4 linked regions of the Lepisosteus oculatus genome follow. The protein of the gene in region 4 interacts with the protein of the main gene of each other region in a biochemical or structural test. Links are inferred from orthologs where the notes say so. Each region holds a gene or a part of one and is shown on either strand. Other genes may lie near its edges. The genes, in order: pex7, ddo, pex12 and pex5.

Region 1 (7,089 bases), on a different chromosome or scaffold from region 4:
AAACAAAAAATACCGAAAAAAAAGACTTTAAAAATAATTGGTCAAATGATACTACTGTTACTTTTTTGTTTTGCTTTGTTACTTAGTGTTACCTGTAAGTTGTAACCTTTTTTATTGCTATGCAAAACGCCTACCGATAACACTGATTAAAATATTTTTGAACATGGATGGATTTACACCGTCGTTTTTCATTTGACAGTTTTTTCAAGCCAACAATGTGGAACTGGAGCTGTGCATGAGTGCATCTTGGTTTTAAAATATTATGCTAATATGTAACATACATAGCAGCATGGGAATCTGCCGTACAATTCTAAGGAAATGTACACAGACATACAAAAAATGTTATTACCAGAATTCGCATTAATGTTTCTCAAAAATGTCTGGAAGAAAATATCAAGTTACAGTAGTACTGCAATTTACTACGCTCTCGATTAGCAGTAACGTTAAATTATGCAGAGATGCTGACGCGCTTTTGTCATGAAAGTCAAGACATTAAAGGATTAGAATATATTGTCTATTCCAGCTAAGAGAAGCTGCCCTTTCCAACAGTAATTTGTTCATTTATTTCCACTGGGATGCTTCAAAACAAAAACGCCATTTGCAGAAGATTTGCACTCACAGCTGAGCCGGCGGAGTTTATGTAAAGGAAAAACAAAAGTAACTGTTCAACATCCGCTATTCATGGTCCATCTAATACAATTTGTTTCAATCAGATAATGGTATTCTACATTATTCTACAGTATTTCTTTATGTCAAATATCATGTGTCTGATCTGGGGAGTGTTGCAACCAAATCAGGCACCAGGCAATATTCAATACTTCATTGATAATACACTGATAAGTTCTGTAATAATCTATTGTTTTTCCTGTGCATGGATCTTTGCTTCTGGCTGAGGAATTTCCATCCAAAAGACTTAATCCAACAGGGAGAAAAGCAAGATCCTGACAAATACGGTGAAACCACAGATTTTGTGCTATGATAATAATATTTCAGTCTGCAAAAAGTCAGGCTGTTAAAAGGCTTCCTGGGAAGATGTAATGTTTTCGTCTGACCAAAACATACTGCGGGGCTCATAATGAAGGCAGCACATGAAAGCAAAACAACTCTGGTCACTCCTACCAAGATGGGCCTTTATGTGCTGCTAATCCACTCTCTTTATCCTCCGGTCTGTTAGAAAGATTTACATTAGTAAATCACTGTCAGACCATTAAATTCCTTAAGAGAAAAAGTATCAGCATTTCCAAGTGAATGGGGATTACGACACACAGTGCCTGCTGCCCACTGACAATCATGGGAACAGAGCGCAGTCATAAATCCACGGTTATCTGGTTTAGACTGCCTGGTTCTCACGCCGCAGTCGCTCCTTTGATGTGGCCGTCGTAAAACACGGACACATGATCAGCGGCTTCGGAAACATCAAGTAGTAAGACTTGCAGAACGGTCTTAAACTGAACGCAGAGCCTAACGGGTGTGTAGGAGAAACTTTTTTTATTAATTAAAATGCAGAAGACCCTGCCTAGTTCAACTCACTATATGAGTGAAAGTCCAGCTAGCAGTTCTTAGAACGTGCTTACTTTCTTTGAAAAAATTAATGGATTGTTCACAGGACAGTTTTTCTTTTCATTGTATCTTCCGAGCTATGCATTTTTTTCTGGAACAGATTACTGTAGTTCTCTGATGCTTTTTTATATTTTTCTTAAATTAAGCTTTTTTCCTAATGTCATGTGACAAAGTGTTGATTTTTTCTTAATTATAGTTCAGCTATGGAGTAGGACTACTGTTGTTTTTATAACTTGATCGTGTGATGATAAGTGTTACAGTACAGTTACCGTCTGCCTTTTCTCTTGTAGGTTTTCAAGACATTTCACAGGTCATTACAGCTGTGTTTAACAATAGTGGGGAAGTGAAACTCTGGACAATACCCTGCAGAACCCCATAGATATTGTACTGTAACACAATTCCAGTTCCACCGAAGAGCCATGTACTGACCCCCTGACAGCAATATATTAACAATATAGGACTGTCACATAATAAATAATCACCTGGAAAACCCTGACATGGTTTAAACACTAGGGTTTATTACACAAATTATCATTAAGAAATCTATACATTATTATAACAGTAGGTGTAAGGAATTCAAAATACAATGACAATCACATTTTTTTGTTTTTTTGAGTCAGTAGGACTGGAGGTGATGATGCATTCCAAGAGTTAGGTTTCAAACATGCTCTGGAAGAAAACACTGTTAAAACATCTAGACAATCTACTTAACAGCAATATGTTCTTGGAAGTTATTGGAGTTTTTTTTTGTTAAAAAATGAAGAACGTTTGGGGAACATTTCACACTACTACTGCTAATAATAATATGAAAAAGATCGGAAAGAAGAACTAAATCATTTTATCACTAAATATATTAAAATCGTTTGTCTGGTTGAGTTATTTTTAATTAATCTAAAAGGTGTCTTTATGCTAGTTATTGTGAATTTAATTTACACTTAATTTTCATGTACAATATACTGGTCTGCATGGACATTTCTGACTGGATTTGTTTGCAAGAAATGGTGTAACCTAATTTTAACTCAGTTGTCACAACATACGCATTATATCTGTATAACAGAAGAAACAAGGAAAAATAATTCATGCCACAAATTCATGCCACAGTGAACTGAATCCATAGCACTGAGACTAGCACAGTACCCCAGTGCCAGGGAAACAACTATAATAGCTGACTTTTAAGTACAAATTGAGGCAGTTATAATGGGGACAGACCTCTGTGCCCAGAACTGGAATGCCCAGGAATCAAGTCCTCATGAAGAGAAGGTGAATAAGATCCATTCATCCATTTTCTAAACACTTCATCCAGTTCCAGGTCCAGGGGAGCAGGAGGAGTCTATCCCAGCAAGCAGCGGGTGCAAGGCAGGATGCACCCTGGATGGGATGCCAGGCCATCACAGGTGATGAACAGGTGATCACAGACAGGCACAGAAATACACAGACTCTCACCAGGGCCAATTTTCCCAGAATCCTATCAACATATCTGTACAGTATGTCCTTGGACCGTGGGAGGAAACCGAAGCACCCAGAAGAAACCCACAAAAACATGGGGTGAACATACAAACGCCAAGCAGATAGCACCCCAGGAAAGGATCCCAGGGCTCCAGCAATGCTTAACCCCTGCACCACAGTGCCACCTGTGAATAAGATCATCAGCAAAAAAGTGAAATAAGCATAAGGAGTGCAACACTGCATAAAGTCTCTGATAAAAGAATTTAGGTACAGGGTCTGTTAAGGGGTGATAGTGATCCGATATTATTTTTTTCTTCTTTGTTATCACCCAGACAACAAATAGGCCTCCACCTGCCTGTTGGATACTGGTATGGTAATTTAACAGTACTTTTAAAAAGTAATGAATAACCGAAAAGTTCAGGAATTATTATTTTATATCGGATTGTAACATTTCATTTGGATTGATATCTCGTTGGCCACATCATTATTTGCCAAAAGTATTTAATTAATACGGATTCCACACATTTATGAACACACCAATATACTGTATACTGTATGTGCAACATTGACGCACACGTACATATATGTGCAACAACAGTGACACCTGGTGATGACTGTTGTGATCATCACTTTGAAATTTATTTTGAAAATAATATGAAACATCATCGGTAGCGTTGAAATGATAAATCGCGTTATAAGAGCTCACTGTAATAATAGTTCACACAAAAAATGCCAATATTAAGATAAGTTACAAATCACAAAAGGACATAAGCTCATCTTGCTTATTTGGAAGGATTTTTATATCATAAACATGAATGTATTTTGTGCTTTGCAATCTAATTGATTTATCAAGTGTACTATAGCCCCGTGTTCAAGTTAACTCGGACAACCGGGCTGGTTAATTTAATGCTAAATTGCGAAAAGGTGAAGAGCTTCCTGGTACATGACCAATCACAGCGCAGCCACAAAAACGACCAATCACAGCGCCCAAAAAAAAGAAAGACCAATCACAGTGCCCGGAAAGAGACCAATCACAGCACCAATTAGAGCTCTGCGCTCCGCAGAGGCTGCTGGGAGCAGGAAGTCGATTTCGACCATGAGACGCTATGAACTATTATGAGCCTGTAGTAAATAAGGTTATTTAGTTTGATTTAAATCCAGTTCGTGTCAGTTGAATTTGAGTACCTTATGTCGTTTGTATTGGAGATGCAAGCGGCTGTTATGTTTAAGACGTAGGCAAAGCGGGCGAGACTGGAACAAAACAGTAAGGTTAATGGCTGAAGTAATGAGGACGTTCCGGTCCCCAGCTCGACACGGTTATGCAGTAGAAGTGTCCCCGTATTTTCCCAACAGGCTGGCCTGTGCCACGTCTCAGTATTACGGAATAGCAGGTGACCCTTCATTCAGTCGTCGTGATCGTGGTTATCCTGCATGAAGTTCGCTTAAGTGTGACCTGAAATGGTCAAAATGTACATTTCAAGCTTTTTTAAAATCACATTTTCATATTTATGTTAAAAAACAACTAACTCTTATATAGTAATTGAAGTTTTTTTAACAGAAAAATATGGAGTTGATATTTTTTAACAACCATCAATTCATCAGCTACAAAGCGGATGAGTTTATTTTCATTTTAGTTTAAAGTACATGTAAGGAAGAGTCATTTTAAAAATAAAAGTAATATTACTCAGATGTAAAAATAAATAATAAATAAAGAAAATTATGATAGCATTTCTGAATCAGAAAGCTTGTCGTGTGTCCTAACCTCTGTATAGATCTGTTCACAGTACCATAAGTCCTTTAATATTGTAAACCAAAACCGAAAAGCACCCAGAAAAAAAGCATACTTTGTTTCTAATACTGCCCCCTCAACGAAAAGCAAATCTTCACAGCTTACTTTTTTGTTTTGTGTTTGTTCAGGTTGTGGAACACTGCTGGTTCTGGAGCAGAATGACATTGGTATTTCTCTCATAAAGAGGTACATAAAACTACTTGTTGCCAAGACTGATTTATTACTATCATTGTTTTTTACTGATTTCTTTATATATGTATATGAAACAAAGACAACACTATTCATAAATAATTTCAATATCATCCTCCACAATGCAAAAAAAACACTGTGTTCCTGTTGAGAAAATAGGGACACACATCTTTGTGAGCACATGCTGAAAACCATCTATTTTTTATTTTGAATAAAAGTCTTTGTGTTGATCATATTGGTTCTGTTCAAGAGAGACGTCCCAGAGGTGTGGGGTACAGGTTTCATGATGGAAAGCTTGTGGGTTCAAACCCCAGGTGGGGACAATGATGTTGTACCCTAAGGCTTTCACTTAGCTCGAGTGAAATGCGCATCTGTATTAATGAGCACAAATTTAAGTCCGAGTAGGGACCTGCGTTAGCATGCCTAGTCTGCAAAGGAACAGGTAATGGTTTTCTCCATGCTGAAAAGAGAAGAAAAGAAACACAAAGTTTTGGCTGTTGGAGCTTCAGGCTCCACTCCTGACAAAGGCTCCACAGCCAAGACGTTGTCATACTTTTTTCTTTTCCTTTCAGCATGGAGAAAACCTTTACCTGTTCCTTTACATATCTAAGTCTCTGTGGGTGACAGAGTTGGACTGATAAGTATTATAACCCTTCTTGTTCAGTTTTGACTGGAACGATGGCCTTTTCGACGTCACCTGGAGTGAGAGCAACGAGCACCTGCTGGTGACGGGGAGTGGAGACGGATCTCTCCAGATCTGGGACACAGCTAATCCCCTGGGGCCGCTGCAGGTGCTGAAGGAGCACGCGCAGGAGGTGACTGTTTTTACCTGGGCACAGGCGGCATTTCTGGAGTCTGTCCGGTCCTTTTCACAGACACACTGGTTGGTTAATTGGCTTCTGTGAAAACTGGCCCTGCTGTGGGTGCTTGTGTCCGTGTCTGTGTGGGCCCTGTGATGGACTGGCGTCCAGTCCAGGGTGTATCCTGCCTGCCTTGCGCCTGTTGCTTGCTGGGACTCCCCAGTGACCCAGAATTGGATAAAGATAAAGATTGGAAAATGCATGGATGGACATGCCACATCATTGACTGACTGCTCTCACTGTTCTTATTATTATATTACAACTTGGTAGTTAATCATGTGGGTCAACTGGCATGGTCTTTGTAGGATAAAAAGCATCTATGTATTTTTATTTTCAATGTAGTCTTTGTAAATAATAATACCAAGCTGTAATACAATCAGATACATTTGTAATGATAAAAAATGTGGTTCCATTTCTGTTGTCAAATTTATAGAATAGCTCTTGGCTTTTTTCTTTCTTTAGAGTATCTATTCAAAAGTTGCATTTGTTATTTTGAAGTCATTATGACTTATTGTTCTTATCATCAGTAAAAATAAAATGGTATGCATTTTAATTTTCTCAATCTCTTTCTAGGTTATAGGGCTTTTTTAAAATACTTCTTACTGAAAGTTGGTCTCTGTAATGTTTTAAATAACGCTTATAGGTATTATTTTAACCCAAGCCTGTGGATATTCAAGCAGGGATCTGCGTCAGCATTCATAGGCTACAAAGAAAGAAGTACAGGTTTATAACATGCTGAAAAGAGAAGAAAAGAAACGTAAAGTTTCGACCGTGGAGCCTTCTTCAGATGTCAAGGTCTTCTTCATTTGTTCTATGAAGCCTGTAGATATTCTCTTTGTTTGTTTTGTGAAGTTGAATGACTTAATGTATATGAATCCCTCTGTGTGCAGGTGTATAGCGTTGACTGGAGTTTAACCCGTGGTGAAACATTCATAGTTTCTGGTTCCTGGGACCACACTGCTAAAGTGGTAAGATGTCTCAAACAATCATATAGTGATGTGTACACATAGAAATAACTGAAAAAGCTTCTTCTGGCTTGTGGTATTGTTTTGAAATATCCTGGATTGATATGATTTTGTTATTTCTTCCATTTAGCTTTGATTACCTATGCAAAATTTTGCAAAAGAAATACCAGATTATCAGTATTTTCTAAACATGAAAACAATGATTCAGTTCCGCTTTACAAACAGAGAAATCATCCTCACTGTGTCGAACACAAACGTTAAGTAGATAGTCATTGCTGCA
Region 2 (7,304 bases), on a different chromosome or scaffold from region 4:
CGTGCAGCCTTAAAGGGTAATTGGGGAGAATCAGGTGAATATCCCAATCTAAAGTTAAAGGTCTTCTATAGGTAAGCAAATCTCTTTCAAATAAGTGTTTCTAGAAGAACAAAGTAAATCTTTTAAACAAATGGCTTTCTTAAACGGCTTTCATTTTTGTAGTATGTCTTCAGGTGAATATACTCTGGGTAGTCCCTTTATTATTCAAATTACTTTTTGTTATTGTTTGATGGAACATTTTCTATTTTCAAAAGAAGCTAGTTTTGAATTATCCTACCGCTTCATATGTAGCAATTATAAAAAGCGCTAGAAGGCCTTCTCTTTCCTCAGACTGTGGTGTAATATAACTGTGATGAATAACTGTGATGAATTGTGCCATCCAAAAACATTGGGATAGCAAAGTCAAAATTGTATTTTTGCTTTATAGTCAAGAAAGTTGTATTTATGATGAGATTGCCCCTGAAACTGGGTCACTTGTTTGTTGATCATGTAATGAATGATGTTCCTGAACTTTCCAGAAACATTTTGTCTGTAAAACTTTCCATACAGTACATAATGGGACTTATGTATTTATCACATAGGAGTTGGTCAAGAGAAAAAAACTGGAAAAATCTTTGATCGGACAAGTAAATCTCCATATTTAAATTAATTTACGCAAGAATTATACATGCTTAACAAATAAAATAGAAATCAGAACACACTAAGAACAGGGAAGAGCTCAAAATAACTTCATCAAGGTACTTCTAATGATTTAAGAGCTTGATGAGCTCAGTGCAACTCAGATTTCATTCAGTTATTGTCTACATGGCATAAAGGAATAAGGAACCATTTACTGACCTTTACACTTTAAACTGAAGGTATCCCAATATCTAAGGTCACTTGAATCACTGGGTTGGAGACAAAGCATGTTTTTGTTCTTGTGTGCATGTATGCATGAAATTATAAAATGTATATTGTACTTATTTTAGTCTCAATTATTTTGGTCTCAAGATCACAAACTGTTTGAGTAAAGTAAAAATAAGTTATGAATTTGTTATTCCAATACCTATGGAGGGCACTGTATATAATACAGTATATTCTGCATAATGTACAGTGCCCTCCAAATATGTACAGATGTAGCCATTCAGAATGTGCATTAAAATCCTGTAACATGTTACAGGGGCTTCGCTTTGCTGCGGCTTTCTTTGTCGTTGTGATTCACTGGACAAGGACGATCGATATGTAGCACTTGTGTACGTTAGATGTTAGTGAAAACATGAACCTCCCACAACAAAAATAAATGAAATATTAATACTTTTTTATACTTTTTAAATCCACTTAATATGTAATAATAATATGCAATCATGTAATCATGTAACTAAAGGGAAATTTGGAAAAAATGTTTCTGAATGTCAAACGTTAAATTATATTTAACTGGTTGGCATCAAATTTAACTTGGTCACCTGTGGTTAATTTGGAAACATTTTGACGTGTTTATGTATATTCTTTTTCCTTTCCTTTCAGCATGGAATGAACCTTTACCTGCTCTTTTGCAGCCTATGCATGCTGATGCAGCTACCTACACAAATTTGTTATAGGCTTACTGCTCCGTATCCCTATGATCCGTATCACAATAAGAACCAGGTTTAATTAAAGAACAAGGGTTCCTATGACTGTCAAAAGTACAATCTTCCTTTGCACAGTTTTACATTCATAGCATTAATAGTCCTACTCATTCTGTTTTAATGATTAAAACATATTTTGATGACATTTTTTTTACTATGGAAAGAAAAGTTCAATGGCTGTAGAAGATGGGGAGAGAGATTTTCTTAAAGCCTTGCTTTATTAAAGGCTGTATTGCCTTTCCCTGTAAAAAAAAAAAAGCTAATTGTTATTAAGATATTAGTTTTAGATTTACAGTTGTCTTGGAAATTGTATTTTTAGTGAGGTCACTACTGAAAGTATGTAGGTGTGGTGAAGCATCTTAGTGTATTTGCTCTTAATTCATAACTGGATTTTGTTGATTAGTGTCCCTGTTGCAGATACTGCTTTTGTGTCTTTGATCAAGGTACTGTACCCCAATTGCTCCAGTGCATCAAGCTGTATAAAAGGAGAATATAAGCTCCAGTCTTTAGTATTGACATTAATTTTTTAAACTTTCATATTGAATCTAAGAAGTTGGTTTACATAGATGTAATGTTTGTTATGCACTTTTACTCAAAAGTATGTTCATTTTCTTCCCAGGACATTGGTGTTTTGGTGATCATTCTAAGCATGACTGGAAAGTTTGCCATTGCAATTGCTTTTGGCCTTATCTACTTGTATACATGTGAGCTCTACCCAACTATAGTGCGGTATGTATAATTGATCAAATCATGAAATTAATTTGAGGACTTGTAATGATATACAATAGGTGTAATGATTTTATTTAAAATTATATAAGAACTTGGAGAACTCTTAGATCTTTAGATCTCAGCTTTTCATCTGTTGTCTTACAGTAAATTCTGTGAAGGAAGTTAATGATAAAAAAAATTCAGGTTGCTGCTGCAGGTGTTGGTGGTAAACCAGTAGGTATCTCATCCTTCTGCAGAATTTCCAAACCAGTGCCCCAGTAAAGCGACTGCAGACACTGTTCTGTGCTAAGGAGTTGCTGCTCTGTGGATGAGGTCCTTTGGCCATTTTTCAAAAGAGGGCGATAACCCAGATGTAATCTCAGCAGACACAAGTGTAAACAGTTAAAGAATTCCTGTTTTATTTGCCTGCCTCAGGTCTCTGGCTGTTGGAAGTGGAAGTATGATGTGCCGTATTGGGAGTGTAGTGGCCCCCTTCTGTGTGTATTTATCAAGCGTTTGGACCTTCCTGCCTCAGGTAATACCACGGGGATGTCTCTGACAGCTGCACTAAAAGCCATGCAATTCTTTTGCAAATACAACAGCTACAGAATGAGTTGGGGGGGGGGGGCAGAGTCAATAAACAGTCATAAGAGAGGAATTAGATAATTATATGGGGAGATTTCAATCATTTTATTATATGACTGCTTCACAGCTGCCTTTCTCTATTTTTTTTCTTCCATGGTACTGCTAATTTAAACTTTTGATTTTTGTCATTCTTACATTCTGAACTCCTCTTTTGAAAAGTGATTTGTAATTAACATAACATCAGTTAGTTTTTAAAGGTATTCTTTGTCCCACTAAAACTAAAAAACTAGTTTTTTTTCCAGTCGAAGCTAGCATACATATTCATTTAATCCCCTGGGATGTTTAGGGGAATGTTTGTGGCAGTGTCTAAGGACCTGTAAAGAAAAGGCCATCCTTTCTGTATGTCTCCCTTTTGTACACTTTATTTTTACAGATTGTTTTCTTTAAAATGCATATTTTAAATAGAAATAGTATTTCTGTTAATGTTATACTGCACTCATGAAACCAAAACTGTAGGTTAATGAGTGTGAATTAGTATTCATGTATTATCTCTTATTCCCCTTGTAGTTAATTGTGGGGATTCTGGCTTTTGCCATTGGCTTGTTAACTTTGATGCTTCCTGAAACCCTTGGAAATCCTCTAACAACTACCTTTGAAGAAGCAGCAGCTCTGGGATCTAAGGTAACCAAGACAGATAGACAGGTCACTGGAGATCTTGGTGAGAAAATGGAAATGGACTATAATGCTCTAAATATGGTGAAAGCAGATGACCTACACGTCTGAAGAGAAGGGCTTTAATAAATGCCGGGGTTGGACTGATTTTGTGCACAATTTTACAATTTTTAACCATTTTTAACGTTCTTCCTGTTAACCTGTCCAACTGAATGAGTTATTTAAATAAGCATTTTAAATTGGAGGTACCAGCCTCACATGTCCTCTTGTCATTTTTGTTTCCTATTCCTAGAAGTGTTAAAAAAAACGTTTGATTACCTGAATGTTATGTGATCTGTATAAATATAATTTCCTTTTATGGTAGGAGGTGGCAGCATCGCCTTCCCAGATTTAATAGACTGTGTTCTGTATTGAGTACAGCTACTCTATTGCAATACGATATGTGGGACTGAAAAACTACCTCTGGCAATTATATCTGATGTACAAAAAACAAACTCTGTCTATCTGGTCCACCAGTGTTACTAATTTAATGACTTAATTTAATTCCCAAAACAGTTCCTAGAATATTTTCTTTATCGTAAAGATATTTTTTCCTTATTAAATACTGATTGTATATTTTGTTCCTAGTTCATTGTGTGAAGTGTTCAGTTGAATCATCATGTTCCTGTTTTGTCCATAAAAAGAAACTCATAATGATAGGGTGGTGGAGGGATTCAGACAGCCTCTGCTTTGTTATTTGCACTACGTGCACTTTATGGATTATGTAAACTGGCACTTTCCCAAGGCTTTGTGTAGCCCGAATCAAGTCCAAAGCGAAGCTTTCTAAGCTCTTGCACAAACACATTTAGAGAATTGCCATTTGTGATACTGCAGTGATCCACCCTTATTCACCCTGCCTGTGTCTGTGAGAGAAGAGAAGGCAGCAGAGCTGAACTGCATGGACGCCAGGGTGTATTGTCCTTTCATGGCTTACAGGTGCGCGTTTGCTAATCACAGATGGTAAAGAGCGAGAACACAGGAGCTCGCAGTTAAAAGAAGGTGGTGGTAAAAGAAGGACATTGTCCCCCATTCATATATTGGGGAAAACAATTAAAATAATGTTGAATGAAAAAATAAAACACAATAACTGGAATAATTAAACATCAATTTAACAATTCGAATTAAACAATAATTTCCGGGATCATCAATGTTCCCAAGGAGCATGGAGGAAAAAAAAATAGAGGATATCTTAGTACATGTATATGACATCTGTCTTCCAATGTGCTCTTGCTTGACAACTGACAAGATTCATGTAGCAAAAGGTATTTTTAGCTGAAAGCGAGTCTGGAACCGTTTTTTTCATCAATCTGCTCTCAAGTGCAGGTTAAGTGAGCTCAAGAGTAAAAATAAAAATCAGAAAAAAATCCATATGACTTGAATATTAAAAACATAAGTGTTCAACAGGTTCAGTATTTAACTGTGTACAATTTAATTATATAAAGTAAACAATGAGGGCATACATTTAGCTCAATCCATCAGCTTAGTGGCTCCTCCATGTCTGCAGAGCTAAACAGTTGCAGAGAACCAGAACACATTAGGTTAGTGGGGTTGCTTAGTGTCCTTTTCAACTATCCAACAATATGAAGTCTGTCAGTAAGCAGACCTGAGCATTGCGTAGATCTAAGAGGTCAAATGTGGAGTTAAAAAAAATGCTTCTAAACCTCTCTATATAAGAGGGGGAAGTACAATCACTTATAGACCTGTGAGGAAAGATGCCCTAATAAGGTAACAAAAAGGGGAAGTTAAGAGGTGAAATGGTCAATTACAAAGGCCATCTTAGTCAGTTCTAGGGTTGGACAATTCTTAAACCTCTCATTCTCCAGAGCAGAAGAAGCAAGAAGCAAGATGCAAGTTTCAGCTGCCAACAGATCTGAAGCACTGGCATTTCAGGCTATTACTCATGTAAGGGAACATTACAGGTGTTGGATTCAATAAAGACCAGATATAATTTTTTCAGGTTTTTTTTGGTAACCCAACACCACATTCTGACATATTGTACCTAATTTTAAAAGCTGTAGCTTAATGAGTACAAAATGAGCAGTAATGATCAGTGAATGAGATCAATGTCTTTACATTGAATTGCCACAGCCTGGAGGAAAAAGTACTGCTGCTGCAGAAAGCTATAGCCTATATGTTCTCATTAATTGAACACATGTGACTAGGTAACAGGTTGCTCCTTTTTAATTTAACCAGCAGCATTTTAAGAAATGGGTTGTTAGTTCTGCGAGCTGTTTCATTTTTCATTATGTGCATGTTAGTGATTTTTGTTACACTTATGACTATATGTGAATTAATGAAATGAAAGGGTTTTCACTCATTATAATCAGTTCTGATAAAGGGAAGACTTCTTCAAACCACATTAGCTCCAGGCTGGAGTTGAAAACACCATGTAGAATTCCAGCACAACTACTTTTGACCCACGCCGGAAATAATCCAAACTGTACATTGTCTCATTTCTGTTATAGAGCATGTACCCTTTTTCAAGCGTCCCCTGCACCTACAGTAGTTGTTAGGTTATTCACAGCATACCTCATCAACAACTTTCAAGAAAGATGTTGTTACAAGCTGTCACGTCTGGATGACCATGTAGGAGGTGCAGAAAGTGAGGTTTCAGAACTTGATCAATTAAGCACTATGTATTCAGGCTGCTATTAATTACTACAGGTGGAATTGTTAATGATTATACACTCCTGCTGAGATCACACTGCTTGGACCTCTCCATTAATGTGTCTGCTCAACACAACAAATGGCATATAATTCTACATGTCTGCATGACACATGCTGGTCTACTGGGGTGGTCCATGCAAACCTTGATTCATTGCTAAAGAAGGCTTTGCTCTACTGTTGACCAGTCCACCTGAGAAGTTGCTTCAGCATACCAGTGGCACAAAAGCATGCTCTTGGTAAGTGGGGCGTATTGGTCTTCACCTGGATTGACAGTCAGCAGGTGACCTTATCTGTGCCAACTGACACATTCTCTAGTAAGGCTATGTAGTTTTTGTGCAACACAAAGCCATTTGAGTGTATCATGGTCAGTTAAACCATTGTCATAGTTTGCTTTCCCTTTCTCTTTTTGCCTGTCCCATCACGGACTTTCACTGGGGCAGGCACACGCACTTTTTTTTCGCACTAAGTTCTTGTTCTTGCCTTATGTGCCCTGCTCACCAGGCTGGACCCCGCTAAATGGGGTACTGTAAGTCCAGTCTGGTCACCGCTGTGCTAGCGATTCTTTTTCCCAGGTTTGACCCCGTTAAATAGGATAAGCCCAGCCTGGAGGTTACAAGACACAGTGGTACTCTTTCTTTTTTGCCTTTTTGTTTATTTTTCACTCTTTTTGTATTATTTCTGGTCCCTGCTAACCTCACACTGGTGCTTCTGTCCCCTCACCCGGTGCTCGCTAAGGCGCTTCCCACTACACTGTCACAACAGTAAAAAAAAAAAATTACAGACATTGGTGGAGACAGCCTAGGCCATCATTAATAAGGAACTCCCCTCCATTTAAACAATTCACTTGGCACTGCCTCAGAATGCCCAAAATATAATCAAGGATCAAAACCACCCTGCGCATGCATCTTTGTCTCTTCTTCCTTCTGGCAGAAGAGTTAGGAGTATACAGTAATTGCCCAAACCTCCGAATTCAAAGAAAGCTTCTTCATCATAGCCATAAGACTTCTGAACACCACCTCTTAAACCTCC
Region 3 (7,458 bases), on a different chromosome or scaffold from region 4:
TGGTAACGCCGCTGACTAACTACTGTACTCAAATGAAGCGTAAATGCATTTTATGATTCAACACTATCATGACTTGGAACACAGTGAAAATTACATGCAAGTATGATTAATGACTGACAAAACTACAACTCTTTTCCCAAGATGATCAGACGACACAAAACACACACGTTCATAAAATCATATGATAGTGTGTTTTACCACAGATTAGAGGTGGTGGTGACCTTTATTCTCTCGAGATAAATAAAACATTTTCCACCAGCAGATAGAACACAACATCACTGTACCCTGACCAAGCAGAGACCAGCCTACCTGCTGACTTTCCAGACTCTTCATTTAGGATGAAATAAGTGAAAAAATATTCCATTATTTGAATTACTTTGCATGAAAGCCAATGACACAAAATAAAACTGAAAAAAACACTGGGAAGTCCACATGATAAAAAGTATTTTTGAAGCTAAGCGCTCCTGCAACGCAGGTGATGTTGCACCCAACGACTGACGAGGTAATCTTTCAAACCAAATGACAAACACAAAACTAATGGGACACCATGCAAATCAAACTGGAAGTCAACAAGGTCATTCATGGATGTAGTCTGAACGTAGGTAACAAATATCCACAGGGTGGCAGTGAATTGGAAAAAGCAACCTTCACAAAGCAGATTTGATGATTCTTCATCTCCTTCATGTACAATAAGCTTATTTTAACCACAGCCTACCAGGTACAGTGAAATGGTAGAATTGTGTCCGCACCCCAGGATGGTCTGGCGTTCCATCTGGGATGTAATAATAATAATAATAATAATAATAATAATAATAATAATAATAATTGCTTACACTTATATAGCGCTTTTTCTGGACACTCCACTCAAAGCACTTTACAGGTAATGGGGACTCCCCTCCACCACCACCAATGTGCAGCATCCACCTGGATGATGCGACGGCAGCCATAGTGCGCCAGAACACTCACCACACACCAGCTATCAGTGGGGAGGAGAGCAGAGTGATGTAGCCAATTCATAGAGGGGGATTATTAGGAGGCCATGATTGGTAAGGGCCAATTGGAAATTTGGCCAGGGCACCAGGGTTACACCCCTACTCTTTTCGAGAAGCGCCCTGGGATTTTTAATGACCACAGAGAGTCAGGACCTCGGTTTTACGTCTCATCCGAAGGACGGATGTAGTTCTGCCTTGTGTCCTATGTTTCCTAACCGATCCGACAACGGATAGATGCACAGAACAATGCAGCATCCTCATCTCCCAGCCTGAAGAGAAGCTGACTCAAGGGAAATGACTGTACCTGACATCCTTGCCCACAGTCATGGCGGCGATGACCTTCTTCACTGCCTCTTTCCTCTTCTCCTTCTTCTCATTGTTCAGCTCTGCCTTCAGCTCAAAGATCTCCCCTGAAACGGGAGAAAAGCACGGCGTCAGCACAGCGCACTGCCCTCTCAGCTCCAGTAACTAATCCATCCATTGTCTAACCACTTCTCCCAGCTCGGGGTCGCAGGGGGGCCAGGATCTCTCCTGGCAAAGCAACGGGTTCAAACACAGGGGGGACATACAAACTCCACACAGACAGCACCCCAGGTCTGAAACTGAAGCCAGTGAGGCAGCAATGCTAACCGGAGTCTTGCTCACTGCTCCATCACTCACAGCAGATCCCACTGATGTTTTAGTGTTGAAACCTATAGAAATCCATTCTTAAAACACAAACAAAATAACCCCATAAACATCAAAATCCTCACTTCTACACCAACAACCTCGTGATTTGGAACTGCAGAACCTTCTAACATGTTAACATGTTGCCGGGACCGAGGAGCTACAAGTGCATAGACCTACATAAATACATTCATACACTATAATAATAACACACTATGCACTCATATCACCACTGAGCTCTTAACACAGAGGAGGCCAAATCTTGTCCTGGAGCTGCAGTTTCACAGGTCTTACAGGTCATACTTATACGTTCAGTTTGTAAGCACCTGGCATTTTGATCGCTATAACTGATTTGGTCCCTTTATGCCAGAAATGGCAAAATACGATCCCTTATAGCTACGGGGAGGGGAAGTTGGTATCTTCATTAGAGAAATGATCACTAAACTACTACAAATCAGCTGTGTCAGTGGTCAAAATGAAAGTGCTCAAAGTGTTTGAGGGAGGCTAGATGATTTGAGGCAGGCCCATAAAAACTGTGGGATTGTAGCTCTCCGAGACCAAGGCTGCCCAGGCCTGTTGTGTGATCTCTTTCCGTACACCTGGTGAGCTACTCTCTTTCAAATGTTCTGGTCTGTTTCTAGAGTCCAGTCCTGACATTAGCCCAACTTCATAGCAAAACAATCAGTATTATATATATTTAAAGCAAAGACATGATCGTCAATTTCAGAAAGCAACCACCAGCTGCAAACCCAACAGTCCAAGATCGATATTGTGAACATTTACAAATATACCGAGGAAAACACAGATGCCCTATGTAAGAAAATCCAACAGCAACCGTTATCCTAAAACAATTCCACTATTTTAATGTCTGTAGTAGAACAGTGACTTTATTCTATAGAACTTTCATTGAATCTGTCCTGTCGTTCACTGCAGTAGCCTGGTTTAGTAACCTGAATACATGCAACAAAAACACACTGAGCGGGACAGTGAAGGCAGCCAGCAAAGTTGTCAGTACACAACAGCTACAGCTGTCAGACATCTTAATCAGACAAGTAGTGCAGAAGGCCAATATAATCACTGACTGTCATGACCCCTTGCTCAGTGAATCTGAACTCCTTCCATCTGGGTGTCGATTTAGACTGTCTGGATTCAAGAGCAATAGAACTAAGTCATCTTTTGCTCCTACAGCTATCAACCGGACAGTTATCATTTGGACAACTGATTATGAATTTCACTTTATTTATAATACTTTCTCATCGTACATGTACCTTATTTGTCAATGGGTTCATGTTGTGTTAAATATATGCTGTAAACGTATCATATCTTTTACCTGCAAAGGCAAAGTTCCAATCTGAGACGGAGTAAAATAAATAGACCATCTCGTGTCATCCATCAAACTCAAACACTCCCCCGAGAAGACTCACCTTTCTTGTTTGTGGTGAAGTACTTCGAATCCGTCATGACTGCAGTTCTTCAGAACAGCTGCGAAAAGGAAAAATGGAACACAGAGTACGTTACTTTGCAGAGAAACACCGGTGTATGCTGGATTTAGAAGAGCTTACTGTATGTTTTCTCTGGGACAGACATAAGCAAAAATACACTGATAATGTTACAAATACTGGAAAATTTTCATTTCCAGTCCCATATAAGGAAATACCTGAATCATAACACTATACAGTACATTTACAGCTCAGACATTGGAATTTGTGTTGGCATCGAACTGACCTATGGAGTGAACCACTTCACCGAGTTCACTGAAGGATATAATTTTTCACCTTGAAGGAAATCTTTCAGCCCAGAAAAACAATATTATCCTTAATCTAAGGGATTTAAACTAAAAACCTGTAACAAACATTGCTATTTTAAATATAAACAATGGTATATTAATCTGAAAATGTTGAACTGTTAAAATATATTTATTCCTTCAACATATTCCTGAGAGGAACCACTTCAATACTCCCGCAATTAAGACCTCAGACTCACGAGAGTACAAACTGTTCTGGTTACTGTCTAGAAGTATACAAATAACCGACTGTAGTCTTAAACCAACTAGAACAGCTGTACCAGTCGGAGAAAACCAGTTAACGGGTCTGGTTAGGGATGCCTAAAACAACTACAACACACTGGATTTAAATAGGCGGTGTGGCAATAATGCACATTCTCAGTAAGGCCTTTACGGGGGAAAAAAAACGCCCAGCCTATTCAGAAAGTATTACAGTTCAAAGTCAAAATCGAGATTTTATAGTCAATTAAAATTAATACGCAATCGCTATCGGTCTCCCTTGTCGAGCGCTGCATTTAGGCTTGACCTTATCAACCGACGCCTGTGAATTACATGTATGGAAATGTGGATCAAGCTCAAGGAAGGACGCCAGAAATGTTTATTTAATTTTCTCAGTTCTTATTGCATGTCCGCTTTTCCAGCAAATGCCGGAGAGCCCTGGACTGCGCAGCCCGGCTTGGGTGTGACCCGGCTCCCGCATCTGCCTGTCCGGGAAAAAACGGTGCGGTGGACTGGGCCTCCCCGCCGGTACCGAGGAGACGGGGACGCGACGCTCACCTGCTCTGGGTGATGGCGAACAGAAGAGCCGAGCGAAGAGGTGACAGAGGAAGCAAGATGCTGGTATCACGGACCAAGGGCGAGAGAGAGAGACACACACACAGGGAGAGAAACCGCACTCCCGGAAAAACAAGACGAGAGGCGGAGGAGGAGGGGAGAGACGCCGGAAGGAGCCAGCAGGGATTCCGGAAGGAGCCGACCGAACGATTTAAGAGGCGGACAGCAAAACATCTGGAGGCTCAGCGAGGGTGGGGAGATTTGCGAGCTGCAAAGAGGAGTTAGTTTGTCTGAAAGCCTCTTATTAATCCAGTTTGTTTTGAGGGGAACTGTTTTAACTACTGGGGATGCGCAGTGATCATTGTTGCGCCTAACCAAGAACATCAACAACAAACCACAAGGACAGGTTATCGACCTTTTTTTTTTTTAATTCATGTTAGTTGTGCCCATCTGGGATTTCAGCACTCCGCCTGCAGAGATCAAGGGCACCTCGGCGCTATGGCCGAGCGCGGAGCCCACCTCAGCTCGGCCTCGCTGGAGCGGGACGACAGGCCCTCTATCTTCGAGGTGCTCGCCCAGGACTCGCTCATGGCCTCGGTCAGACCAGCCTTGCAGCACGCAGTAAAGGTGGTGAACCAGCTCATTCATTTCCTGCTACAGCATCTGGTGTTGCTTCTGCGCCTTCTGCAATTTGTTCATAAAATGCTCATAAAGCTGAAATTTATTAGAAGCGTGAATGCAAAGGTTAATGACTAAATGTAAGGACCCACTTAACTGAAACACGTTTTGTTTTCCTAAGAGGGTTCTGTGACATTTACCTTGCAAAACAGACTTGCCTCCAGCATTTCTAGCCTCTTGAGGCCATGATCATACACAGGTTTTTACTATCCCTCTCCGATAAAGACAGGAAAAATAAACTGAACAGAGACAGAACTGCATTCTTGAACATGATTAATAGGCTTTGAAATTAATCAACCAGGGGGAGGCACGGTGGCACAGCGCTCAGCATTACCGCCTCACAGCGCTGGTGCTCTGGGTTCAATTCAGGACCTGGGGTGCTGTCTGTGTGGAGTTTGCATGTTCTCCCCATGTTTATGTGGGTGTCTTCCAGAGGCTCTGGCTTTCCCCCACAGTCCAAACAGAGAGGGGTAGGGAAAAACTGGCGCTAGTGTGAGTGGCTGTCTACCCTGGCATGGACTGGCGTCCCGTCCAGGGTGTACCTTGCCTTGCACCTGTTGCTTGCTGGGATAGGCTCTGGCTCCCCTGCCACCCCGCTTTGGATAAAGCGATGAGAAAATGATGGGCTGGATTAATCCACAATCGCCCATTATTCTTACAGTGCCCCAGAGAGGAAACGTGTGGAGTTCTGCTGTACTGTCCCTCTTGCCTGTGTGGAAGTTCTGGATGTCCACTGGGGACGAGGGGCGGGGGTGGGCGCACCTGCTTGAGCTTCCCTGCACCGAGTGATCCGAGTCCCGTTCCTCCTCCAGGTGCTGGCGGAGTCCAGCCCGGCCCGGTACGGCGGCCTGTGGCGCTGGTTCGACGAGATCTACACCGCCCTGGACCTGCTGCTGCAGCACCACTTCCTGTCCCGGACCAGCGCCTCGTTCTCCGAGAACTTCTACAGCCTGAAGCGCGTGCCCCCCGGGGCCGGCGGGCGGCTGGCCAGCCTGGGCCTGCCCCGGCGGCAGCGCTGGCGCTCCCTGCTGCTGCTGGCGCTGCTGCCGTACCTGCGGGCCAAGCTGGAGGGGCTCCTGGGCCGGCTGAGGGAGGAGGACGACTTCTCCATCCGCGTGCCGCGCTCGGCCTGCGGCCGGCTCTGCAGGGCCTTCCTGGCCGCCTGGCCCTTCTGCAGCATGGCGTGGGAGGGCTGGGTCTTCTGCCAGCAGCTGCTCTACGTCTTCGGCCGCGCGCGGCACCACTCCCCCCTGCTGCGGCTGGCCGGGGTCCGGCTGGCCCGGCTCACGGCCCAAGACATCCGAGCCCTGGACCTCAAGCCCACAGCGGCGTCCACCTCCGCCTCCCCTCTCAGGTGCGCACCGATCCTACATCTCGCAGAGGTCCTCCCGGGGCCCTGCTGTCCTCTCCTGGCTTTGCCCCAGTGCCGAGAGGGCCGGCTGTGCACTGGTGCAGATCCAGTCTAGAGGAATCCGTGACAGCACAAAACTGGACAACTGCGCATCTTTTCTGCATCGTGCCATGAGTGCTTCACCAAAGTTAATAGGGCATTCGTGTCCTGGAAAGCTTAGTGCCAGGGTACAAAAAAAATGTTATCAAAGCTGTCTAAAATACCCACTATGTGCCTGCAGGGAATTATTCATTTATACCCAGTAAACATTTCAAGAGTGAGCAGAAGTGTCGAGGCAAGTCTTCGCTGCATGATCCCTGCGCACTTCAGAAGTTCAGTTTGGACGCGTTTGTGGAAATGTTAGCACGCCCAGACTGGCAGTGTGGTGCAGAGTTTAACACCGGTGCCGAGGCCCTGCGTTCAATTCCAGACCTGGGGTGCAGTCTATGTGGGTTTCCTCCCATGGTCCAAAGACTTACTGGTAGGTTAACTGGCCTCTAGGGGAAAAGTGGCCTGGTGTGAGTGTGTGCGTGCCCCACAATGGACTGGCGTCCCTTCCAGGGTGTGGCCTGCCTCGTGGCTGTTGCTTGCTGGGCTCGGCTCCGGTTCTCCTGCCGACCTGACTTGGATGAAGCGGTTAGAAAAGAAGGGGTTGGTGGATATAACCAATCCCGCTCCGGAAAAAAGAATTCCCTGCGGAACAGGTCAGCGCTTAAACGAGGCCCCGCAGTAATAACTTCATTTCGTTTTCCTTTCCTAGTGCTGGGGAGAAGCTGCGCCATTTCCTCAGCACCGCGGTGGGGGGGGTGGCCGTGTCCATCTCCACCGGGCTGTCCGTCGGGGTCTTCTTCCTGCAGTTCCTGGACTGGTGGTATTCCTCGGAGAACCAGGGCACCATCAAGGCCCTGACCTCCCTGCCCACCCCTCCCCCTCCTCTGCACCTGGATCAGCCAGAACTTCCTGTGGGCAAGAGCGAGTGTCCTCTGTGCCGCAAAGCCCGCACCAACGACACCGCGCTGGCCACCTCCGGCTACGTCTTCTGCTACCGCTGTGCTTTCGCCTACGTGAAGGCCCACCAGCGCTGCCCGCTGACCGGGTACCCTACTGAACTGCAGCACCTGATCAAGCTCTACTGCCCCGAAGGGTAGACCGCTGGAGAAGCGTCAGTCAAATAC
Region 4 (7,076 bases):
TAGTGCTGTAGAGTGAAAAACACATTGAGATCAATGATAATAGTGCTGTAGAACGAAAAACACACTGAGATCAATGATAATAGTGCTGCAGAGTGAATAACACACTGAGATCAATGATTATAGTGCTATAGAGCGAAAAACACAATGAGATCAATGATTATTGTGCTGTAGAGTGAAAAACACACTGAGATCAATGATTATTGTGCTGTAGAGTGAATAACACACTGAGATCAATGATAATAGTGCTGCAGAGTGAATAACACACTGAGATCAATGATAATAGTGCTGTAGAGTGCATAACACACTGAGATCAATGATTATAGTGCTGTAGAGTGAATAACACCCTGTGATCAATGATAATAGTGATAATAGTGATGTATAATGAAGACCACATAGTTTAAATCACCAAAACATATATATACACTTAAATATACACCGACACTACAGCTGCTCAGCTTCCAATAGCTGACTTTCATCATTCAGTCTCTGCATTTGTTTTAGTATTAACTCCCACTACCTCTGCCTCTGTCTACCGTTTCTCCCCCCACCCCGTTATCTCTCAGTCCTATGAGTCTCGAGTCTCAGGAGACGGAGGAATGGATGGAGATGAAGAAGAGGAAGGGGAGGAGTCTCCAGAATCCCCCCCTGGAGATGCCCCAGACGACCAGCAAATCATCATAAAGAGAGATTGCCGGGAACACGCCCCCCGTCGCTACTGATATCCAATCACAGCAGAGTTAAGAAACTGGGATACTTGCAGCGGCCATCTTGGCTCCGTTTTCCCTTCACTTTGTATAACGGCTTGGCTGTTGCCCAGTATCCCAAATGGCTTCTGTTTCCTCAGAAAAACCGTTCAAGCCAATTAGGTCCAGACTGCACAGGAGAATTTTGTCGGATTGGAAACTGGAGCCCTTGGTGGCCTTTATTCCTCTCATCCCATGCTTGTTTCGTTTTGGAGTTTTGTCCTACTTTTGAGCCAAAATGGATCCAGCTTCTTAATCCTCCTGTTACGGTCTCCAAGTGTTATTTATTCAGCAATTCCTTAGTATATCCCCCATCTCTTTTTCCTTATTAATCAGCCAATGAAATTAATGGAGCCCATGAATGACTCATGAAGACCAGCTCTAGAAACAACAGTATAAATGCCCTTACTGCTGAACATCACCGGCACGCACACAACACAACCTCATTCTATAATCTACTCAATAATACACAACCTATTGTAGAGTTCCATGCAATCCACACACGCCACAACTGTAGCTACTTTCCGGCAATCCGTTTAGAATATTCTACACAAGTTGCAACAGGTTCTGCACCGTGTTGTGCTGCGTGCACAGCCCAGTGTTTCGTACATAACCTACAATATGAACTCTGCATACAATCAGTACCACACGAGCCCTGCTTATTCAACCTGGATGTCACAGTTCAGCACAATATCTAAAACCTAATCCCTGGAACTGAGTCTTTGACCCACAATTTGTCTGAAATACACTCACCTGTGTAAATCTGGGGTGTTCTAGTACACACCAATTTCTAGTGGGCCATCTAACACCAGAATCCACAGTATACGGACAGCACAGGCAGTAAACGCACACTTTCTACTCTCAAAAACTACTACAAAGCTGCTGATATATAAAGCCCCTTCACTCACCTCTATCTGTTGTCCACATCGTGCTTCGTATTCAGTGTTTACTACACAATCGTGACTACACAATCCTCCTACACACTCTCTATTCAGAATGTCAGCCCAGTTACTGGGTGATCTTGATTGTATTGATTCCTGTAAATAGAAAAATATGTTATTATTATTATTATTATTATTATTATTATTATTATTATTATTATTAGCTGCAGCTCCCCCGCAACTGTGAGGGGGCGCTGATCTTTGTTGAACTGTCATTTTTATTTCGCCAATTCACAATGACTTGCTCTCCCGCCCCCCCCATTATTAGCAGATAATAATAATTCTAATAATATCTTGCTTGTTGCGTGTTTAACTGAGTTGTGTGTCTCCGCCCTGCAATGACCAGCGTCGTGTAAATTTGATCTGAGTGTACTAACCTTGCTGTTCATTCCTGTGGGTACAAAAAAACAACTTGTCCTCTCTCTCTCTCCTCCTCTTTTTACGTTTCTCTGTCTCTCTCAGTCCTGTCTCTACCTCGGGATTTTCCCCTCCTCCCAGGCCCTCGATCTGTCCTTCTCCTTCCTCGTCTCTTCCTCCTCCACTGCTGCCTCTCTCTCTCGCTCCTTGTTGGTGTACAGTGACCGTGTCTGTATCTGAGCCAGTGTTCTCCTTGTTTTATTGACGTCACGGTTCTGCAGAAGCCTCTTATTATTGTAATTATTCTTCTTCTTGTAAAACAAGATTCCTAATAAAACAAAATGCAAGAATGATGTCAAAATAGCTGCTGGTCTCCGCAGTAGAACTGATCCACGCACGCGTGCGTCCGACAGGGCCTTTTCTGACATCCCCCCAAAAAACGGCCCTGCGTTCGTCTACAGTATTGGCGATTTGTTTTCGTGTTGTGTTTCCCAGAGCTTGAACTGAATCGGAGAAATCTCTAATCAAGGCGTGGGAGCGTGCATTTGAACAGACGCGGGTGTGAGCTGCTCGTTATGTCCGATTGGATGAAAAGAGCACAGGTCAGCGCTGCTCCCAGCGACTGTGTCACTTCCAGGGACATCCAAAAGGGGGTAGTCAGGGCGCAGTCCGTGATACAAGAGCCAGGAGATCCATCCAAGAAGAAGAGGATTAAAACCAGGGAACGGGGAACTAGGGCCAGGAACAGGGAATTTAAAAACATGATGGGAGCAGGCGCTCCGAGGTCAGGACACTGGGGTGAGGGCCTGTGCCTGCTGCCCCTGAAGCCTGGGAGCAGGCGGGCCTTCGGGTGGCCATCTTCCAAAGCTGAGCCCGGAACTCCGGAGACGCCGGATTTATATCACAAAAAAAAAAGGGAGGAGGGATTTTAAGCAGGACAACGGGGTTCATGTCCTGTCTCTTACAAACAGGGCCCTGGGATTGTCCAAGACAATCTGTTTAAGGTCTCTTAAACCTCTTAAAGCAGGGGTCTGTAACCCTGGTCCAGTTACTCCAGGGGTCTGTAACCCCGGTCCACTGACTCCAGGGGGTCTGTAACCCCGGTCCAGTGACTCCAGGGGTCTGTAACCCTGGTGCCCGGTTCATTTAGTTTAACCAGTCACCTGTTTTTAAAGATTGGCAATGGCTGTAAACTATCGATGAATAACAGGAGAAATCTGTTAAACTAAGAGAACTGTGGTCCTTGAGGGTTGAAGAGTAATTTTAAACCTAAACATTCTAAACTACTTAATTTAATAAATTAGCTGTTTGATTTATCAATGGGACTGAATGTTCTTTTAAACTGGCCACTTAGTGGTTTTTAAATCTGACCAGATCAACCTACAGAAGTGTTGGCGCGTCAGCCAAAACATCCGTTGTAACATAACGCACTCCCGTACCGCAACTGGTCTAGGGTAACACGTTTTAAAATAATCGTGTGTCTTAAAATCGAAATAAAAAAACGGTCCAACTGAGATCTTAAAGGATTTTTCAAGGCGAATCGATCCCTGATTGGGTGCTCAACTAGTCGGGTCTGAGACGGAGGGAAGGAGGTGCTGCACAATGGACTTTGTTTAAAGGTTGCGCAAACCTTCCCTTTCGCCTCCCCTACACGTTTTGCGTAACCTCCGCCCTTCACCTCCACCGCTCCATCGGCGGACGCTGTTGGCGCCACGTAAACCTCTTCGCAGAATCTCGGCGGCGTTTCCGCATCAGCCGCAGCCGGAGCGGCGACTCGCTACGCACTTTGCGTAGCTCCGCCACCCGTCTGCCGGGAGCTCTTGCGCGGCCGGGCTTCGTGAATCCCGTCGGCCAAATAATGTTAAATTAAAGGAGGCGTACGGTGGCCGGTGCTGTGCCTGCGGATCCAGAGAGGGGGAAGCGATTGGAGGATTACGGCAGACACTTGACCGGCTGGGTACTGCGGTACGTTGACATTGCGCCGAGAGGGAGGACGGCCGTGTGACGGTGGTCTGATAAGTTATATGCAGCGGAGGGGGGGCGGCGCACTGTTGTCCCGTCCGTCTCTCTGTGTTGTCTTGGCTCGGAGGCGGACAGCCTTGCCTCTGTCTGTTCAAAAACAGCCCCCTGCCTCACCGTCCTCTACCTTGGTCTGCCCGCCGGTGGCCGGTGAGCTGTCCTTCAGCAGGTGAGCGGACAGCGAGTGTACGAGGGCGCCCGCACGTGTGGAGAGCCGTGTGAATCGTGTGCTTGTTGTGGCTTCAGCGTGTCTTTCTGTGATGTTGTGACTTAGGGGAAGGGTCTAGTGTGTGCAGGTTGCGCTCTCTGTGCATAGCTAAATTAGGTATTTTCCAGTGTCTTCCTACTCTGTGTGAGGAGTATATTCTTTTGCATGGAAGAATGAACCTGTTATATGTCAGTAATCCGCTCTCTGTGTGTCACCTACAGTGAATCCAATTAGCTCTGAGGTCACTTTGGGGCTCCTGCTTCTATATTATACAGTCTTAAATATATCAGTTTATATAACATAGCCTTCAGGCAGTCAAGGCTGTCTCTATGGCATAATCGTCTGTCAGGCTGTGTGTCTGTCTTTTATCCTTGTGTTTATATTGTATCCCTGTCTGTCTTTGTTGCTCTGTGATTGGTCAGTTCAGGTTGTGGCTGCCAACTGATTGGCCGGAGCTGGTGGCTGCCATGGCGATGCGGGATCTGGTGGAGGGGGAGTGTGGGGGTGCCAATCCGCTCATGAAGCTGACGGGTCACATGACCCAGGACCGAGAAGGCGGAGCTTGGAGACACAGGGCCACACCCACTGTGAGTCACATGGAGCAGAGACATATTGTTCTGATCTTGGAAGTTTTTCCTCTTATCATAAACGCCTGTCTCTCTCTCCCTCAGATTCCCACTCCTATTGAGATTGCCACTGAAGATGACGTGAGTAAAGTTATTATTAGTCACTTGTTTGAAGTAATTGAAGAAAGAGATGTAGATCGTTCCAATATTACAGGAACAAGAGCAACAGCAGCTGCTCATTATATTTGCCAGCAGCTATATTATCCTGCAACTCACAACTGGCAGCCCCACTGAAGCTCAGCAGGGATGAGCCTGGTCAGTACCTGGATGGGAGACTCCTGGGAAAGATAAGGTTGCTGCTGGAAGAGATGTTAGTGGGACCAGTAGGGGGCGCTCACCCTGAGGTCTGTGTGGGTCCTAATGCCCCAGTATAGTGACGGGGACACTACACTATAAAAAGGCTCCGTCCTTTGGATGAGATGTAAAACCGAGGTCCTGACTCTCTGTGGTCATTAAAGATCCCAGGGTGTTTTTTGAAAAGAGCAGGAGTGTAACCCCGGTGTCCTGGCCAAATTTCCCCCTGGCCTTTACCAGTCATGGCCTCCTAATAATCCCCATCTCTGAACTGGCTTTATCACTCTGCTCTCCTCCCCACTGAGAGCTGGTGTGTGAGGAGAGGACTGGCGCATCATCCAGGTGGGGCTGCACACTGGGGGTGGTGGAGGGGATCCCCATTATCTGTTACGTGTCCCAAAAAGCGCTACAGAAGTGTAAGGATTCAATTGGATTTATTGTTGTAATCACAATGGGTTGCCAGCGTCTCTCTGTCGCCCTCTAGCTGGTTAGCGAGTTCCTGCAGGACGCGGCCCCCCCCCGCCCCCCCCACACCTTCAAGATGGACGACCTGCTGGTGGAGATGCAGCAGATAGACCAGCAGAGCTACAGACAGGCTCCTCAGAGAGGTACCGTCTCTGCTGTCCTGTATCACTCTACCCCAGGCCTGGTCCTGGTGTCTCCCACACCTCCTAATTTCCCACGTTCATTAGATAATTGAATCCTTACTGGATCTAAGATCCAGTTGCTTCATTGGAATATTTGCGTATTGCCTCTGGTCATAAGTTGGCCGATTTTACTTTGCTTATAAAATGCAATGGTTAAGGATCCAACATGTTTAAAAGGGAACTGCAGTCTCAATTTCTTAGACCGGTTATTTATTCTCGTAAATTCATTGACGGAACAATGGATAAATCGTAAACTTTGTGAAAGTGCTGTATAGTCGCCACGTTGTGGCAAACTCGCATTGGAGTTCCCACAAATTGGGATGTTTTGCAGCCCTTCCTGCTCACTAGTCCCAGTAATGACTGATGTGCTGTGATGGATGAGCGAATAGGTACAGGTTGTGCAGCAGACATTTCGCCACAGAAATGTTCCAGCGTGATCTGCAGGCAGAGTGAACCAGTGAGTAGTATTTGTCAGTGGAACCATCTGGAAGTTGAGAGCATTATTTCTCCTGGATTAAAAGAGAGGGATTCACGAGCCTGCTTGTTTAAAGTGTAATAGAGCCGCTTCACCTCACCAGAAGTTTTGTTGTTCTGAATCGCAGAACATGGCGCTGCACAGACCTGGACATTTACTTGTGATGGAAATTGGAGGTTTTACAAGTTACTGTGCACATCTTACTTCCATTGTGGTTTGAAATGCACTCATCAGTGCTGATTCCTTCTAATCCCCGAAATTTAAAAATAGCATTGCAGTTCCCTCTTTGAGAGCTGGGAGAAATCGGTTCAAATCCATCGCGTTATTATGAAGTGAATTGAAGGGATGGATTGTGGAACTGAGGGCGAGCCAGCGGGTGTATGGGGGTCACCAGGCCCAGGACTGCTGTTTCACTGTTTCCCTGTCTGCCAACAGCCCTGTGCTCGGTCGCTGCTTGTCTCACGGGCTACAAGCCAGGCTTGACAGCTAGGATGTGTGGTGCATTGTGGGGAAACAGTAGGCATGTCTTGTTACAAACCAGCTGATACTCTGGGACGTGACCGCAACACCTGGTGTACTAGACATGCACGACAAGGAAGAACAGAGGAGAAAATAAGAGTCAAGTGCATTTGATTTGTGCTTGTAGTTGAATGTGTCCTGAAAGTTTTTCAATATTCTGGCCATTCCTGAGCTGTTAACAGGATCAGAGGATGCATTCTGAAAAGGTATTTGATTGCTTTTGCTCTGCAGGTTCCTGAACACACCC

The links.
Region 1: the proteins of pex5 (region 4) and pex7 form a complex in vitro, tested with the Homo sapiens proteins (3 studies listed by BioGRID). The link is inferred for Lepisosteus oculatus from reciprocal best matches to the Homo sapiens genes PEX5 and PEX7.
Region 2: the proteins of pex5 (region 4) and ddo form a complex in vitro, tested with the Homo sapiens proteins (2 studies listed by BioGRID, with this or other methods). The link is inferred for Lepisosteus oculatus from reciprocal best matches to the Homo sapiens genes PEX5 and DDO.
Region 3: the proteins of pex5 (region 4) and pex12 form a complex in vitro, tested with the Homo sapiens proteins (2 studies listed by BioGRID). The link is inferred for Lepisosteus oculatus from reciprocal best matches to the Homo sapiens genes PEX5 and PEX12.

What each region holds. Positions count from the first base shown.
Region 1 is NC_090697.1:2,535,213-2,542,301, forward strand, and holds the start of pex7 (peroxisomal biogenesis factor 7), read left to right. Parts: upstream 1-4,072; 5' UTR 4,073-4,279; coding exon 4,280-4,397; intron 4,398-4,923; coding exon 4,924-4,981; intron 4,982-5,648; coding exon 5,649-5,799; intron 5,800-6,734; coding exon 6,735-6,812; intron 6,813-7,089. UniProt on the Homo sapiens protein: Receptor required for the peroxisomal import of proteins containing a C-terminal PTS2-type peroxisomal targeting signal. Specifically binds to cargo proteins containing a PTS2 peroxisomal targeting signal in the cytosol.
Region 2 is NC_090697.1:33,063,134-33,070,437, reverse strand, and holds the start of ddo (D-aspartate oxidase), read left to right. Parts: upstream 1-4,287; 5' UTR 4,288-7,304. Other genes in the region: slc22a16 (solute carrier family 22 member 16), read left to right, coding at 2,224-2,333, 2,748-2,847, 3,465-3,680. UniProt on the Homo sapiens protein: Selectively catalyzes the oxidative deamination of acidic amino acids. Suppresses the level of D-aspartate in the brain, an amino acid that can act as an agonist for glutamate receptors. Protects the organism from the toxicity of D-amino acids.
Region 3 is NC_090721.1:1,318,819-1,326,276, forward strand, and holds the start of pex12 (peroxisome assembly protein 12), read left to right. Parts: upstream 1-4,436; 5' UTR 4,437-4,713; coding exon 4,714-4,842; intron 4,843-5,705; coding exon 5,706-6,247; intron 6,248-7,043; coding exon 7,044-7,431; 3' UTR 7,432-7,458. Other genes in the region: ap2b1 (AP-2 complex subunit beta), read right to left, coding at 1,297-1,402, 3,083-3,119. UniProt on the Homo sapiens protein: Component of a retrotranslocation channel required for peroxisome organization by mediating export of the PEX5 receptor from peroxisomes to the cytosol, thereby promoting PEX5 recycling.
Region 4 is NC_090718.1:2,695,823-2,702,898, reverse strand, and holds the start of pex5 (peroxisomal biogenesis factor 5), read left to right. Parts: upstream 1-4,063; 5' UTR 4,064-4,065; coding exon 4,066-4,229; intron 4,230-4,690; exon of another isoform or gene 4,691-4,695; coding exon 4,696-4,855; coding exon of another isoform or gene 4,856-4,939; coding exon 4,940-4,975; intron 4,976-5,672; coding exon 5,673-5,796; intron 5,797-7,076. Other genes in the region: clstn3 (calsyntenin-3), read left to right, coding at 564-719.